4 linked regions of the Caenorhabditis elegans genome follow. The protein of the gene in region 4 purifies or fractionates together with the protein of the main gene of each other region. This does not show direct contact. Each region holds a gene or a part of one and is shown on either strand. Other genes may lie near its edges. The genes, in order: chil-10, aldo-1, spig-20 and F32B5.1.

Evidence for each region.
Region 1: the proteins of F32B5.1 (region 4) and chil-10 fractionate together in Caenorhabditis elegans (co-fractionation; one large-scale study listed by BioGRID). This does not show direct contact.
Region 2: the proteins of F32B5.1 (region 4) and aldo-1 fractionate together in Caenorhabditis elegans (co-fractionation; one large-scale study listed by BioGRID). This does not show direct contact.
Region 3: the proteins of F32B5.1 (region 4) and spig-20 fractionate together in Caenorhabditis elegans (co-fractionation; one large-scale study listed by BioGRID). This does not show direct contact.

Annotation. Positions count from the first base shown.
Region 1 is NC_003284.9:955,895-961,342, forward strand, and holds chil-10 (GH18 domain-containing protein), read left to right. Parts: upstream 1-1,986; 5' UTR 1,987-2,032; coding exon 2,033-2,233; intron 2,234-2,277; coding exon 2,278-2,574; intron 2,575-3,275; coding exon 3,276-3,448; intron 3,449-3,497; coding exon 3,498-3,564; intron 3,565-3,640; coding exon 3,641-3,697; intron 3,698-3,843; coding exon 3,844-3,953; intron 3,954-4,375; coding exon 4,376-4,586; 3' UTR 4,587-4,674; downstream 4,675-5,448. Other genes in the region: apm-3 (MHD domain-containing protein), read left to right, coding at 386-499, 544-617, 669-771, 824-1,069, 1,630-1,722; ncs-1 (Neuronal calcium sensor 1), read right to left, coding at 4,767-4,868.
Region 2 is NC_003281.10:13,562,681-13,566,774, forward strand, and holds aldo-1 (Fructose-bisphosphate aldolase 1), read right to left. Parts: upstream 2,258-4,094; 5' UTR 2,240-2,257; coding exon 2,146-2,239; intron 2,046-2,145; coding exon 1,570-2,045; intron 1,331-1,569; coding exon 803-1,330; 3' UTR 666-802; downstream 1-665. Other genes in the region: T05D4.2 (F-box associated domain-containing protein), read right to left, coding at 1-87, 256-356. UniProt on the Caenorhabditis elegans protein: May be involved in the metabolism of fructose-bisphosphate (beta-D-fructose 1,6-bisphosphate) and of fructose 1-phosphate.
Region 3 is NC_003284.9:6,084,158-6,087,330, forward strand, and holds spig-20 (Neuropeptide-Like Protein), read left to right. Parts: upstream 1-1,966; 5' UTR 1,967-1,983; coding exon 1,984-2,094; intron 2,095-2,147; coding exon 2,148-2,342; 3' UTR 2,343-2,410; downstream 2,411-3,173. Other genes in the region: C45B2.2 (Neuropeptide-Like Protein), read left to right, coding at 596-706, 756-944.
Region 4 is NC_003279.8:2,698,135-2,702,754, reverse strand, and holds F32B5.1 (arginine kinase), read right to left. Parts: upstream 2,336-4,620; coding exon 2,153-2,335; intron 2,139-2,152; exon of another isoform or gene 1,917-2,138; intron 1,872-1,916; coding exon 1,074-1,871; intron 1,026-1,073; coding exon 813-1,025; intron 763-812; coding exon 673-762; 3' UTR 597-672; downstream 1-596. Other genes in the region: F32B5.2 (Glycoprotein), read right to left, coding at 2,800-2,943, 2,997-3,204, 3,668-3,779, 3,828-3,921, 4,426-4,620.

The sequences.
Region 1 (5,448 bases), on a different chromosome or scaffold from region 4:
TACTATTTTGTCCTGTTTATTAAAACATTTTTGTAGAACCAGAGGTTTGCGGACCTTTGTAGTAGTATTATATGCCAAAATCTTTTAAACTTCAAAACTTAAAACGTATTTTGCGGAAATAAAGCGATTATGGCTACTGATAATCTCTATCAATTTGTAATTGTAGTGAATATCGGATTGCAAAATTGTTTAGTTCTGTGCACCTCTAAAGATTTAAATACAAAATTATAAATAAACCAAATGAAAATATTTTAATAATATAATACTTCACACCACCAAATTTGGGTGCTGACGTTTTGAACTAGCATGTGTTCTGGAGGTAAAAATTCTGAAAAATATTTGGAAATATTAAGAATATATTCATCTTATCCTTGACAAATTTCAGGTTGACGTTTGCTGTAAACTGTCCGGAATGCCTGATCTCACAATGACCCTTATCAACCCAAGACTTCTAGATGATGTATCCTTCCATCCATGTGTCAGATACAAGCGCTGGGAGGTAAACCGCTCATAACATTTATATCTTAATCACAATTTTTTCAGAACGAGAAGGTTCTTTCATTTGTTCCTCCAGATGGCAACTTTCGTCTGTTGTCCTATCATATTGCTGCACAAAAGTAATGATTTTCATTCTACAGATAAAATTTCTATAACTTAATTAATTTCAGTATGGTTGCCATTCCAATCTACGTTAGACAAGTGATCTCCTTGAAACCAAATGCTGGAAAACTTGACCTCACAGTTGGACCAAAGCTAAGCATGGGTAAAGTGGTGAGTTTTCGAAGATCTAAATCACAATCCCTCTAACAAAAACGATGTTAAGCTGGAAGACGTTGTTCTTGAAATCACAATGCCAAAATGTGTACAAAACTGCAATTTGGTGGCGAGTCACGGAAGAATCGCGTTCGACCCGACGACTAAACTATTGCAATGGACCATTGGAAAAATTGAAGTCGGAAAACCATCAACACTCAAAGGATCAGTTGCTGTGAGCGGAACTACTGTTGCAGAGAATCCACCAATTTCACTGAAATTCAAAATTAACCAGTTGGTTCTGTCCGGATTAAAGGTTAGCTTTATCAGCTTGAAGTGAATACCCCTATACTTGCAAAGTAAAAACATGCAAGTTTATAAAAAAACAAATCAAGTAATCAAATTTTTAATATGACTAGGAAAACTCTTGGTAGTGGTCCTAAAAATCGTCAGATATCAATTTGAATGACCAGGAATTATACGGAAAAATCATCCAGGAAATGTAAATTCTTTTTAAAATTATATTTGTCTATCAGCGCTGTGCGGCTGTTTATCCGACTTTTTGGAGAAGTGAGATAGAATTTTAGTGAGATAAAGTTTTAAAATTTGGAAACTTTCATTCTTGCCCAGTCTCACAAAAAGTATATTAGTAGAATTCAGAAATTGTCTATGTTTTTTAAAAACTTGGGTAGAATAATATGACCGTTCGACCGTTCTCCAAGTGATCAACAATCCTGTACCTTATTGGTTGCGGTGTTACCTAACCGACTTTAAAATTTTTTTCTATACATACATTTTAGTTAAAAAAAAGTCATATTTTCAAAACTATCTTCAAAATAAGCATGCTGAAACGCACAGACATCAATTTGTTTCCAGGTCAATCGTTTGGATATGTACGGCGAAAAGTACAAGCCGTTCAAGGGTGTGAAATATATAACGAAAGCCGGTAAATTCACAATTCGCACTTAGTCTTCCATCAACATTCTCTGTATCTCATCTTGGTCTCAACACTGCTCTTTCAACCAGTTTACTTAATTTATAAAATGGCATTACTCTTCTATTTTAAGGACTTTTTAGTTTATTGATTGTTCTTAAAATAAAATTGTTTTATTGTTTGCAAATCTTATCGATATTTCTATAATTGCACGTTTTTGTTGTTTGGTTTTGAATGCCAGGTTTATTTACTTTTTTTAATTTTTTTTTTTTAATGTTTAAGTCTAAATTGTGCCGTAGCTTTCAGGATAAAACGTATCGGGTATCATAGCAAAGTTAACAAAAAATGATTATTATACTTGCCACGTGGATATTGATATCTGGAGTCAGTGCTCAAGCCACTGGAAAAGAGCTTATCGAAACACTGAAATTCAAGCCAGAATCAATTTCCAAAGCGTCGATTATAAGAGAGCACGAGCAACTCAACGATCAGTTCCACATTCCGGACAACCGAGAAGGGCTCACTCAGCTGGCGTATATTACACCGGTTATTGAAATTTTACATAACAAAATAACTGTATTGTGTTTCAGTGGAACCGGCATGGCTACGAGTTGGCGGAGAAAACAGCTCACAAGCTGACTCACGTCTCTCCGGTTTGGTTTCAAGCCAAGGCATTCAGTGAAAACGGGAAATTGGATGGCTGCAAGATTGAAGGAACACATGAAATTAACCGAGATTGGATTGAAAAGCTCCGTGAAAAAAACGAAAACATCGCGATTGTGCCTCGAATTCTGTTTGATGGTTGGAGTGCTCAGGAGATGAAGAACTTGTTGATGGATGCAAAAGTTGCAAGACATTGTTTCGAGGATATCGCCAATTTTTACAGCGTTAGTTCCATTTGAAATAAAGAATTACCGTATATTCTCTATTAGTGCGGCATGCCGCACTAATTTCCGAGCCTTCCACGACTTGCGCACTATTAGAGACTGCCGGACTACTGGAGACTGCCGTACTAATTTTCGATAACTAATTTTCACTTTGAGGTTACTACTTTCGAGAGTAGTAACCTCAAAATTCCCTCATAAAAGCTCATATTTTATGTGAAAAGTAATGAAAATTGTGTATTTTGCCACCAAAGACTCTGAAATGCAATGTTTACGTGAAAATTTATGAGAAATTATTGAAGAATGAACAAGGATACCATTGTAGAATCCGAATATTTGAGGTGGCTTTCGCAACCAAAAAGAAGGGGTGCCGCACTATTAGAGACTGCCGGACTACTGGAGACTGCCGCACTAATTTTCGAAAGGGCAGTAGAGATGCCGCACTAATAGAGAATATACGGTAAATGATTGTCTGTCATTCAAGCTGAAGGGTCTGTAGCTGAAGCTTCCACTGGGCTAATGTTAAGCCTCGCTTGAAACTTGGACTGCGGCCGGTAATCCAGTCGTGGATTGCTCCACTTCTCAGTTATGGACAAGTGGACCCATCGGGATAAAGGGCTTGAACTTGACTCAACGACATAAAAATACCGTCTAGACTATCCCCGTCAGAAACACAAACATAAAAATCACCATCATTTTTCCAGAGAAACCAGTTTGAAGGCGCTGTCGTGGAGCTCTACATGCAAGCATTGATCTCTGTGCAGTCTCTAGAAGTAAAGGAGTTTATCATCGAAAGTATACAAGACTTGTCGAGGCAAATGAAAAAGTTGCATATGCAAGTGATTCTAACAGTTCCTGCGCCCCTGGAATGGAATAAGTAGAAATATTGGTGATAAGAAACTTGGGAAAAATTAACATATTTTCAGCCAACCCAACAATCTCGTGACTCCGGATGACTTTAAGAAGATCACAGCTGTTTCCGATTTTGTTCAGGTAAGTGGGAGGAATTTAAGTTGTGTAGTTGAAAACAACACTGTAAGAAACTTCTGTGAGATTGTCAATTTTTCAGATAATGACCTACGATTACCGGGGAAACAAACCAGCTGGTGTGGCTCCATACGACTGGGTTAGTTTTCAAAAATTTTATTCACTAAAATCCAATTTCTTGGGGTTCTTTAAGAATTCAGCAAGATTCCAGCAAACTTTTGAAAAAAACTAAGAGAGAAACACATTAGTTTCCGTGGAATTCTAAAAAAAATTATCTCATTTCAGTTTGAGAGCTGTATCTTCTACTTGGGAGGTGGCCACAAAACACTGGCGGGACTCAATTTCTACGGCTATGAGTTCTCCAAAGGCAATGTGGAAGCAATCACTGCGGATAGGTGAGAATTAAGAAAGAAAAAAGAGTTGTGCGAAAATGGAAAGTCTTATTATACTGTTGAGCTACATAGAAAAGAAAATAGAACAATGTGGAAGAGATTTGCAAGTTTAACAATTGTTCACTGGGAATTGGGATGGCAAACCGGACGTTCTTTTTTTTTAGTTCAATTTTCTAACTTTTTTTTTCACGTTCCAAATCTTCCAGATTCTGAACAAGGCCACCTTTGTAAAGTTATTGTAAAAATTGTGGAATCCGGAAAATATTTAAAAAAAAACAACTGTAATACAGAAACTGGATTGTCCAAAATTCGGTAAAGCCAAACGTTTGACATAAAATATTGCCAAAGTTCTTAAATCATTTCTTAATTTTATATATTGACAAATCAATAGTTAATTAAATTACGACAAATTAATTATCTTTCAGATACTTGACACTATTGAAATCTGAAAAATCCAAGTTGGAGTTTGACGAAAAGTCAATGGAGCACAGAGTAAAGACCTCTAATTCCATCGCCTATTTCCCATCACTCACCTCGCTGGAACTTCGCATCAATATGGCTCACCGCTACGATGTCGGAATTGCCATTTGGGATTATGGACAGGGACTCGACTATTTCACTAATTTATTGATTTAATGTTTCAACTTTTCACATTTTTCAGCCTATTTCATTTGAACATTTTAATCTATGGAATTTGATATGTAAATAAGAAGACAAATATTATACTAAAGATTCTTTCATTTTGACGAAAAAAGGGGACATAACGCTTGATGATAGTGTTTGCAATTTTGATATAAGAAAACATATTGAAATGCGTCAAGAGGAGAGACCCTCATACAATGAAAGAGCATGCACAATTGAGGGGTCAGCTTTGGCTCCTTCTTTGAATTCTTCCAATGTCAGTTGAGCATCGTTATTCTGGAAAAATTTGGAAATTATTTAATGCTCTAAAAATTTTGAAAGTGGAATTTAGTCGATACCACAAATTTGTTACTAAAATCACCAAACAACATTGTAAGATTTAAAAAAAATGGAAAAAAAACTCAGTTTTTAGTTTCAAAATTTTAAACATTTTTAGTTGCGTTTTAACTGTATAAATTTGTACATTGTAAACGTTAAACTGTGCAGAAAGTCTTGAAATGTTTAAATAATAATTTTCAAAATATCTGGCAGCTTAATACTTTGCTTAAAATGATAAAATCTCAAAAAAACAATTTGAAGTGTTTTGTTACGATGTTTGGCCATGTTAGATATATAACTTTTAAAGAAAATTCTTGTTGATGATAAGCTGTTTGAAGTTTAAAACATGTTGAAAAATTCTTTATACTTTTAATTTTTAACTTTTAATTTTAATTTAAACGGTGTTTTTTTGATTTACGAAAATCTCGAATTTTTTTCGAAAAATTTCCAGAATCTGTTCAGAAAAAGTTTTTATCGGATTTTTGAGCCAAACTAAAAATCGAAAACCGGAAAACCGAACAACGTAAAATGAAATATT
Region 2 (4,094 bases), on a different chromosome or scaffold from region 4:
GCGATTTCATAGCATTGACAGTGGTTATTCTTTGTGTATGAATGGGCGGAAGTTAGGTGCTCCGGGGATTTTAAGGCATAGTCCATCCTGGAAATGTTTATATTGGTTTTGTTTGATTTATTCGTTTGACTTTTAAAAATCTCGGTTAGTCGATTTCTGAAGATCAAACAACTTGGAAAACAAAAACAATCCAACGACAGGGTGTAACACATTTACTATTGGAAATTTAGAAAATTTAGTTTTAAAAACACTTACATTTCAAAAGGGTTCTTGGCAGCCAAGGTATCCTTTTCAGTTGGCGGACCATAGTACTTGGTATAGAAGATCTCAGATCCTCTCACTTCGCGGTAGTACATTGCAATGGACAAATGAATGGCTGTAATGCGTTGCGAATAGTGTGCAACTGGTTAGATATCGATCTGAAAATGTGCATCGCACCTGCCCAAGGTTAAACGGCTCCACTGGGAAATTGTTCTCTCGCACTTACACTAGGCACCTTCTGTTCTCAACAATTGAGCAGACACATAAACCTACAAGGAATAGTGAGTAGTAGAAGACATCTTGACGTCATCACTATGAATGCATCGCGACGAGCCATCGCTCAATTGTCTGTCTGCTTGAATCAAATGTTCCAAAGATACATCTCTCTTTAATTGTGCATTCGTATCTACCAAAGATTTATTAAATCCGAAGAGACTTAGAGAAGCAAATAATGACAATTAAAGGGGTATACAGACACATAATTCTACGTGCGTTGAATAGTTTTAAAAAATGAGAAAAAAGAGATCCTGAGCGTGGCCATTTAATAAGAATGATTGGCGACGAAGAGGGATTGGGAAGCGGCTGCGTCAGCTGAAGCATCCCCGGTGTATTTTCCGACAGAGGCAAGGGAGTTGACCTGAGCACGATGGAGCAGGACTTCTTGGGCGGCTGCGATGTTCTCGTCCTTTCCGGCCCACTTGGCGAGACAGGAGGCTTGAAGAGCACGTCCATAGGAGAATGTGAGGGCCCATGGCTTCTTTCCGCTCACTTGATTGATGGCGTTCAAGTTCAATGTGGCATCCTCTTCGGATTGTCCACCGGAGAGGAAGACGACTCCTGGAACGGCGGATGGGACTCCGCGTTGGAGGGCGGTGACGGTGGCGAGTCCGATATCGGCATTCGATGGCTTCTCGCCGGTGAATGATTGTCCGGAGGTGACCATGTTTGGCTTGAGGAGGGTTCCCTCGAGGAAGACGTGATGCTCGTTGAGAGCGTGGTACACATATGAGAGCACGGTCTCGGTGATCTTCTGTCCGCGAGCCAAGCAGTGTTCACCGTCTGGGAGGATCTGAAATGATAACTAATTAGAGTGCCAATTATATTTTTTTTACAAAAAAAAAACTGCTGCGAGACCCAAGTAACGGACGTGGCATTAACTTGGGTTTTGCATCGAATATTAAAATTTTCTGTGAAAACCGTTCTAAGTATTACATTCAAGCCGATCTACGACTACATCCCCCCAAAAGGAACTTAGGTGGGTAGGTACCAGTGCTGTGCGACTCTCGGCTCTCGACTCTCGGTAATTACCTCTGGCTCAACAATTGGTACAAGTCCATTTTGTTGGCAAATTGAAGCATAGCGAGCCAAGTTGGAGGCAATTTCCTTAAGAGCAGTCACTGATGGAGTCGTAGATGAGATCTTGTGCACGCATCTCCACTTGGCGAACTGTGCTCCGTCTTTCTTGTATTGAGCGCAACGAGCATTCAAGTCATCCAATCCCTGAGTGGTTCCCTCTCCGATGGTTCCGGCCATTGGGACGACACCCTTGTCAACCTTGATTCCTGGAATGATTCCTTGCTCCTGGAGAAGAGCAGTGAATGGCTTTCCGTCGTCGGTCTTTTGGTAGAATGTCTCGTGGAACATGATGACTCCCGAGATGTACTTGTTGAGGTCGGCTCCGGCGGTAAACAGAAGTTGACGATACTTGCGGCGGTTCTCCTCGGTGTTCTCGAGTCCGATGCTGTTAAGACGCTTGTCCATGGATCCGGTGGACTCATCGGCGGCTGCAAATTCGAATTTCAGGGAGATTGGAGAGATTAGAGATTAGATTTGTAACACACAAAATGCCAAATTTTGTTTCCCAAATTTAATATCGTTACTTACCGAGAATTCCCTTTCCTGGGGTGACGATGGCGTTGGCGATGGAGCGGAGTTCGTCCTCCTGGGCCTTGGTCAAGAATTGCGAGTAAGAAGCCATTTTAGAAAATGAAGTTGCCTGAAAATGTGCAAGAGTGAAGTCGGTGAAAAACAAGGGCCGCTGATAAAAGTGAAAAGAGCCGGAGCTTTCTCTCTCGCGCCAAACGAATCGATGGCACCGCCGAGAAGGGAGACGGAGAGCCCCTGGCGAGAGAGCAAGAGTGTGTGAGAAGCCGTGCAGAGTGGCGAGAGGGAATTGAGGGGCCCTACGTGATTTGCACGAAATTTTGTGAGAAGTAAAAGAAGAAGAACTGCTGTTGGAGCAGAACGTGAGAAATAGTTTGAAGAAGCGAGAGGAGCAGGAATTGCCAAAGTCTTGAACTTTTCAACGTTGGAGGATTTGATTTGATTTGGTTCACGGAAGCGTGCGGAGATATGAAGATATGAAAGTTGAAATTGCTTTTCAGACATATGCCTCTGGCGTACTTAGAGCAGCCGGGCTATGAGCTCGAGCCTAGTTTAGGACTCATTGGAGTAGTCTGAAATTGAAATAATGTAAAAGAGATTACGAAATTTGGAATGATGCAATCGTTTTTCAGAGGAATCGACCCTACTTGGCACATTTTGTTTTTTTTTTTTAATTCGAAAATGAGCCAACTTGCCCCTACGATAAAAACACAATTTACCTAGTTTTCCAATATTATAGGGTTTAGACCACATAGTTATATTTAAAAAAAAACTAGAGTAAACTGCATTTTCGTTTGCCATATTCCGTAACTCGCTCTGTATTAATTATCAAAATAACTCAATTTTGTGTCATTTTACTCAATTTTTGGGGACAAAACCAATGGTTTTGGTCAAAGTTGTAATGTCAAAACTTTGGCATGTGCGGCAAATATCGAAATTTGCAGAGCTCGGAAAATTTAACAAATCTACTTTTTTGAAATTTGTCTTGCTCGGCAAATTCAGCAAAGTTACCGAGCTCAGCAAACGGCAAATTTGGCAAATTTGCCGTATACCCCTGCTCTGTTTATTCCCTGGGCATTCTCGTAAGACCTATAAGGCTACTATAAGTACGAGAACATGCGAGGCACGTACTAATAAAACAATTCAAAATCTACGACAAATCATGACAAAAAAAAACAAGAAGAGGATCTTATGTAAAACAAGCAATACATCTATGTATTCATTTTTGTAAATAAAATGAGCTTCTATGTCAAAACTATAACATGGGTACAACAAAAAAGACAGCGAATAGAAAACGACGTGATGTGAAAAAGATATTTTGAGAATGGCTATGTGCTTTTTTGCGTGAGATGGCAATATGGAGGAGGCATGATGCAATTGTGCGAATAGTGAGAGTTTAGAGAAAACGTAGAAGGGTTATGAAATTGTTTTTTTTTCTTCATGGACCCAGAATTTGAATGTGCACAAAGAAAACTTAACCATTGGAAATTTAGGTAGAATGCCTTGCAAAATCTATAAAAGCAACATCTTATCACGACTAACATATATATTCTTCTAATTTTCAGAGTTTGAATCAGAGGGGATCCGGAAATTTCAATTTCGGCAATTTGCCGGAAAAAATGGTTTTTGTCAAAATCTTTGAAAAAAAAATATTGGGAACTTAAAAAAAAAAGATGTTTGAAAAATGCGGGAAAACCGTAGCTCGGAATTGAGAAAAAGTTGTTACTGGCAAGTTTTAGAAGCTTTTGGAATGTAAAAAGTTTTAAAATTTTAACCAAGCGTATTCTCAATTAGCTGAAAATTTAAGCAATTCCAAAAAAAAAGCAACAAACTGTTTTGAAAAACTCGATTATCGAAAAGCTCTTCCTGTATATAGATAGATGAGAAGTGTAAGACGAACATAGAAAAAAGTATTTTCTCTAGGTAATGCTCTATCTGGCCATTTCCCA
Region 3 (3,173 bases), on a different chromosome or scaffold from region 4:
TCGGGGTCAATTGTGGGAAAAAATATACATGGGAAATAACGAAAACGAACTTTTTAAGATTTCTCAGATTTCCCATGAAACCTTTAGAGTTTTCATCATTATTTTCAGCAATGTTTTTCAGTTTTTTCATTAAATTACTTTCACTGATTAATACTGAAATGTAGTAGGAAACTAAATCACTGCGTTGAAATTAAATATTCATTGGTGGATTCATCAATACCGTGCTTTAAGAGCAACAACTCAGCAGCCACGTAGTCTACAAATTTAACTGTTTAGTCATCTGAACCTCAGATGATTCACAGAAAACGTAATGGTTCTGAACCTGAACTATCTGAAATATTGTATTTCAAATGATGTTATTTCCGTTTTAATTCATCTAATCAGCCTGACACCTCACAATCGTGATACTTTGTAAAAACGTAACACCACATCTAGCAACCGATGCAATGATGATAAAGAGATTGACGAAATGCAACGTAGGAGACAACAGAGGTCAGTGATTCAACGTATAAACTGGACCGCACATATAGAGGCGTACCTGAGAAAAACAGTATAAATAAAGAAAATTTGGCAAGAAATTCATCATTCGACTACAATGAACTCTTTGGCAATTATTTTGGCTTTCGCCATGCTTTTGGCAACCGTCGCTGCTGGACCAGGAAACCGTTACGGATGGCCAAGCTCTTACGAGAGATTCCTTGAGAGAGTGAGTAAATTATTGTTTTAAAATAAAGTTTTAAATAAGTAATTTACAGCAAGGAGTTTGGGACTTCAACAGACACGAAGCCCGTGCTGATTACAGAGGACGCAAGAACTACGAGCGTGACCTCCGTGATCTTTTCGACGACTGGAAGAGACAAACCCAATGGGGAGGAAAGGGATACAGATCCAACAGATTCCAACAACCAACTGGAGGAAATAGCCGTTACGGATTCAAGGGATAAACACAAATTTTGGCGTTTTTTGTTAATAATTCTATCGTTTTTGTCTTAGTTTTACAAAATCTCAAATAAAATTCGTAATTTTTTGTAATTATGGTAACTGCAAAGTGAACATTTATAAGGATTGCAAAATGTTTTTGAATTTCAAAAATGGACTTATTAACAAAACTTAACGTTTCAAACAATGAGTAAATTCACAGCAGTCTTTCACTGAAGTAAAGATCAGATAAAAAACTTTTGTTTTCATGCGAGATATATCAATACAGATGTTATCAAAAAGATAGAAGGTTCACAGAGGGTTTTTACTACGTGGCCTAAAAAAACCAGAACTCGGCCACGATTTATCTTCAATTGTTCACCTCAGATTTTACTAAAACTTGCCGAAAACAATCTTATGAGAGATCGTTCTGGGGAGGCGATTTTCGAAAAAGACCATGTTTTCATTTTTCGAGTACTTCTATTCAAAGCGACAATAATCAAAACCTGAAACAATTATTTCCAGGCTTCTACACAATTTTCTCACGTTCAGCTATTATCTGAGTTTGATTGTTGAACTTTATTCTTAATTTAATAATGAGGAACATACTTCCTTTGCCTTGGAATAATATTATGAAGTAGTTAATATAATAGAATATTATAGTTTATCACCGTTTGCAGTGGCACAAAATACAACCACAAAAACGTTTTTAAAAAATCTTCCAAAAAATCATCTAGTTGGTGAGCACAAATTATTCAATCACAAATATAAATTTTGGATTTTGAAATAGTATTACTAAATTGTTCATTTGAACCTGATCTATTCGCTATCAGTTCACTTCCCGAAACGCAATCTTTGTTTGGTGGCGTTCTGATTTGTCAGAAAACTGTTACAATCGAGATTGTGTTTCCCGGGTAACCGAGAATTCGATGAAAAAAATAGATGAACGAAGCGGCCGATAGTTCAAAAACACAATGTGAAAATTAGACATTAAATTTAAGAGGCGTAGCTTTAAAAGGAGTATAAATAGTGAAGGAATCAATGGTCAGGACATCATCAGTCAAGATGAACTTTACTGCCGTTTTCCTGGCGTTTGCCATGCTTTTAGCAACTGTCACTGCCGGACCTGGAAACCGTTATGGATGGCCAAGTTCTTATGAGAGATTCCTTGAAAAGGTTTGTCATACTTATTTTTGTTGAAAAATCTCTAAAAGCAAAATTATTTTCAGCAAGGTGTGTGGGATTATAACCGACACGAGGTTCGTTCTGATTATGGACGTCGTGGAAACTACGAGCGTAATCTCAACGATTTGTACGATGACTGGAAGAAACAAACTCGTTGGGGACAAAATGACTACAGATCAAACCGATTCCAGCAACCATCTGCAGGGTACGGACGATACGGATTCCCAGGAGGAAAGTAATTGTTAAAAAGTATTTCTTTTATAATTTGACTAGTTTGTTTTTCCTTCAATAAATGTCACATTGCATTTTTACCAGAAACATCGAAATTTTCAATTTTTCAATACATGTTTTCACAAGTTCACAAGGTCTGAAAAAATAATCATGACAGAAAAAGTTTGTCACTTTTGTCAAATTCTGGAAATCAGTTTTGTTATTAGATCCACAAGAGCACATCATGAATATTTGCGGTAAATTTCGAGAAATGGAACTCTCTCAAAAATATGGAAACTTCCTAGATGTTGAACAGACTTGAAGCCTGACGGTGTAAATGAAGACATTTCAATGCTGACTGGACTCCGATTCTGTGTACTCTAAAGCAAAAATTGGCATTTTTGATTGGATGGTTCTTCATTTTTGCAGAACTGAGCTAAAAACTTAACTTGTATGTTTTTGGAAGCTTCACAAAAGTGCCACTATCCTTGATTTTTTTTGCATTTTTTATTGAAAGCCATGCTTTTGGAGATTGTTTCTCCATGATCTCGACGGAATGTTTAAAATGGAAGCCAAAACAAATTACTTCAACGAATTTGAAGCGGCCTGGTAATACTTCAAAAGTTTTGGAGCAGGAAAAGTGCATCTTGTGCTGTTCAGAAATCGAAACTTTGAATTTGAGAAAATGACACTAGTTTGACTTTCAAACTACCGTCTCATAAGCTCTAATCACGAAGTTTCAAAGCTTGACAACAAAAAAATTTTACTGATGAAATTTAGGAGATCAGTTCAGTTCAGTGTCAAATATGAATGCACACATGACAGGAAAAGAAACATCATATAAATCGGAGGACATTGAA
Region 4 (4,620 bases):
GTCTAGTGAAGTTGAATGAGGTGTATTCAGCTTTATCAGATCTAACAAGGGAAGTATTTCAACTTAATTCCGGACATCTGAACATAACCTATGCCATTCGGACCTATGCCTTCTGAATAGGCCCCTACGAAAAAAATTTAGCGGCAGAGGAGCACTTTGAACAGGAAAAAAGTCCCACTGAAAATTTTTCAGTGCATTTTTTCACAATTCTCGAGGTTTCTAAATTGGCTCCAAATGTGAATTTTTGCTAATTTTTTATGCTTTCTAGGATGTTCAGGGGTCGGCAAACATTCAGAATTTTTTAAATAATTTTTTATAATTTAAAAAAAAACTCAATTTTTTTTGAATCCATGAGAATTTTTTCGAAAATTAAAAAAAATTCCAAAAAACGAATCTGAATGATTTCCGGCTCCTGAACACCCTAGAAATCATCAAAAATCTGCAAACATTCACATTTGGAGCCAATTTACGGACTGCTAAAGTTGGGAAAAAATGCACTGAAAAATTTTCAGAGCGACTTGTTTCAAGTGCTCAAGCTCAAGTCAAAAGAGTAAAAGTAGGTGATAGAGTGAGAGAAAGAAAAGAAACATAGAAATCATTCTACTACCATTTATTTAAATAGTTAATAGAGAAATACAATATGACTAAACGAGTTTTTCTTCTTCTTCCAGTTTACTTCTGCTTCTCCTCCATTTCAATTAGCTTCTTCACTCCGTCGTACATTTGTTTCACAGCTTGATATTCCGAGAGTCCTAGGCGAGCCTGAAAAGTTGGAAATGTTGATTTTTCAACAAAAAACGTGGTTTATTTACCTTGTTAGAAATGTCATAGACTCCTCCAACAGAATCCGAGTGTTCTCCGTGGATTCCGCGCACTTGGAGATTGAGCTTCTCGCAAATCTCGATGAAGTCCTTGCGGGCGGCGAGCTTTGGAAGAGCAATGTGGACGGATGCACGAACTGTTGATCCGAGGTTTGTTGGGCAGAATGTCAGCCATCCGAGACGGTCATCACGGGAGAATGGAACCTGGAAAACATAATATGTTGAGTTTCGGAGCCTTATTAGAAAATCAACCTGCTTCTCAATTCCGCGAACTCCCTTGATAAGTCTGTCAAGCACAGCTCCGACATCAGACCCTTCTTGCATTGAAATGATTCTCATATGATCTTCCTCGTTCACCCAAATCAGGAAAGTCTTGTCGTTATTGTGGAAGATACCACGTCCCTTTGGCCAGAAGTTGCAGGCATTTGCGTATTGAAGATGTCTATCTCCCTCCTTGAACAGGAAATGATCAGCAATCAGCTGCTTCTGAGTATCCTTGCCCATACCATCCAATGGATAGTACTTGCCCTTGAGTTCCTTGTCCGAATATTCAGAGAACGCCTTCTTCACCTTTCCTTCCATCTCAAGATAGTTGTCCTGAGTGAGACATGGATTGAATGGATATCCCTTCAAAGAACGTCCACATCGGATTCTCGTCGACTTGATGTACTTTCCTTTTGGATCCAATGGTGGGAATTCCTTAGTCTTTCCCTCTCCAAGATCAACTGGTGGTTGCTTCTGCTTTGGACTGAATCCGTGATAATCCTCAATGATCTTGTCGAACAATGGAGCGAACAAAGTGTAAGCTTCAGCGTCCGGAGCGTAGACTCCAACTCCGGCGTCCAAATTGTAGACACCTGACCGGATGCAGTCGTAAAGGGTTGCTCCGACCTTTGTGCGCTTTGTCTTAAGCTTCTCGACGACTTCCTTGGTCAAATGCTTCTTGAGCAGCGACTTGCACTTGGCTCCTTCTGGACCATTGAGCTTGGCGTAGGCCTCCTCGATCTTCTTGATCGTGGCAGCGTCGACTTCGGATTTGGCTTGAAGTTGCTGAAAAATTATAATTAGAGATTTGTAAAGCTTTTTCTGAAAAATCGACTCCCAGAATATATATTCTCATGTCAGAGTTTCAGCTCGCGCGTGGAACGGCTCAAACAGAAAAGTTGATTTACAAACTTCAAAATGATGACAAATCACGTGTTCTGGGCATACCGCTCCGGACGCAGCTGCGCTGGGAGCCCCCTCAAATTGGCTTCAGAGTTGCGCGGTCCCTGATTAAAGGGAGCAAGGAAATATTTCTGAAAATTGCCCTTTTTTGGCTTTAGAATTACCTGTGGAGTGAGTGTGTAGACTGCGGATCCGGCTCCAAGAGCAGCGAGCACTCCAGCGACATACCGCGAGTTTGTTGAACGGAGAAATTGCGATGCCATTTCGACGAGACGAAGAGTTGAGTGAGAAGAATCGAATTTCAAACGAGAACTTCTTCGGTAATAACCAATCTGAGCTTTTTTCATGACACGTTGACATTTGGAAAACACGTGGAAAGATTTAGAAATTAGATAAGAAAATTGTCACGTTTTTAAAAAAATGTTTTGGAAAGTTTTGTTCAAAATTTTTTTCTCAAGCTTTTGAATTTAAATACGTGAGAAGCTTGTTTTTATTTTTGCGCTGGATCGATGCACCCTATTTTGTGCGCAAAGATCAAAAGTTATTCTGGTGGGTCTCGCCACGATCTTTGGAGAATTGGTGGTAAACTTTCAGACTGTTCAGTGGCTTAGGCTTCGGCTTCGGCTAGGCCTAGACTATACTATTACCTACCTTACCTATCCTTAAACTTGCCTTTTTGGATAATTTCAAGGTCAGCACAATGATAACGACGTGTCTAGACACTTGTTTCCTCAAAACCTTCCAAATCCCCAGGACAAAAGAAATGGTTAAACTTTCGATTTTTTATTGCATTTCAAAAACTAGAACCTATTCAAAAACAGACAAAAAGTAAAAGAACAAAAAGACAAAGAAAAGATGATTTATCGGAGGAGACGGAAACCAGAACAAATGGACAATCGAGAGCATCGACTACTTTGGAGCACACGTAGTGACGGGATACAGCTGGGTTCAGGAGCTGGAAATTAATTTTTTTGTATAGAAAAATGATTTTTTTACAAAACCCTTTACCTGTGCACAAATCTCATGATCCCCTGGTATTCTTTTCAACGGAACATTCATCTCCTTCCACCCTTCAACTCCGAATGTTCCAATATGATCGGAATGGATTTTTGTGGATCCTTCGAAGATTCTATAACTTAAGCTGACACTATTCGATGAATATGTCCAATCATCTGCAAATCGGATCAGAAGCTCGGTGGAGTCACATCCATTCAGTCTGGAAATAAAGAATTATCTCTTTTTGAACTGTAGGCCATGTCAAAATTTTTGTTTTTCTATAGAAGGCTTATAGGCTTAGGCTTGAGCTTAGACTTAGGCTTAGGTTTAGGCTTAGGCTTAGTCTTAAGCTTTGGCTTAGGCTCAGGCTCAGGATCAGGCTTAGGCTTAGAAGGTAAATATATTAAAACCACAAGGTCTGGGTATGCTTTGAGTAGGCTTCGATGCACTTAGAAATTCTTATTTATGTGCCTACAAGGCAGGCGAAAAAGAAAAAGAAACCTAGGTTGCCTTCAAAGTAAGATGACATTCTTAAAGGCAGGCGGGTAGAAATTTGTTGCCTGCTTGGAAGCTTGTGTTCAGAGCAAGAGCTACAAATTTTACTGCTTTTTATAAAGCCTTTAATACGATTTATGTGAATATCCAAATTTCGTATTCCCATTTTTTTTTCTAAATTCACCCACCTCGATTCAATTTTCAGTAATCGTTTCAGCCAAACATGTTCTGATCCATTTCTCCTCATTTCTTCGCTCATCTTGACTATAAAGTTCTGAGTATCATTTGCCCAATACGTGCCTGAAAATTGGAGCTGCTGATTTTTCACAAAAATATGAAACAACTGACCATACTCTCCATTTCTGAACGTCTCGTATCGAATTGTGGATTTCCATTCAATTTGGTACCATTCATTTGATGTAAATTTGCATGCCACGTATTCCTGCAAAAAAGTTTAGATTGGGTTGAAGAAATTTTGAAACTTTTTGAAAAATAATTTATTTTTTTACCATTTCGACCAAAAAAAATTCCAAAATGTTTTATCACCTCAAAAACTCAATAAAGTTAAATCGGAAAAGCGGCAGATTTGCAACTTGCCGGATTTAAACATTTTCGGCAAATCGGGAAACCGGCAACTTGGCGGAATTAAAAATTTCCGGCAAATCGGCGAATCGGCAAAATTGCCGGAAATGAAAGTTTCCTGCAAAACGGCAAATCGGCTAATTGGCAATTTGCCGAAAATTAAAATTTCCGGTAAATCGCCATATTGCCGGAATTGAAATTTTCCGCTAAATCGGCAAACCGGCAGATTACCGGAAAAAAAATTTCCGGCAAATTAGCAATTTGCGGAAAATTAAATTTTCCGCCAAATCAGCAAACCGGCAATTTTGCCGATTTCATATGGGAAAAGACTTTAGATGACTTCTAAAAAAAAACCCAAGCCTACCGGATACACCGTTGGCACATTAACAATCGGACATTCTTGATTTGTCGAGTTGAACTCAATCCTCTTCTGATGCTCGATTCCCATATTCATTCCCTGTGACAATTTAAATAAATGCCTTGAGATCGATGATTGGCAAGTCTCGTAACCTCCAAGATCTGGAGATATTCGATATTCAGTTTGGTATCCTTTAAAAGT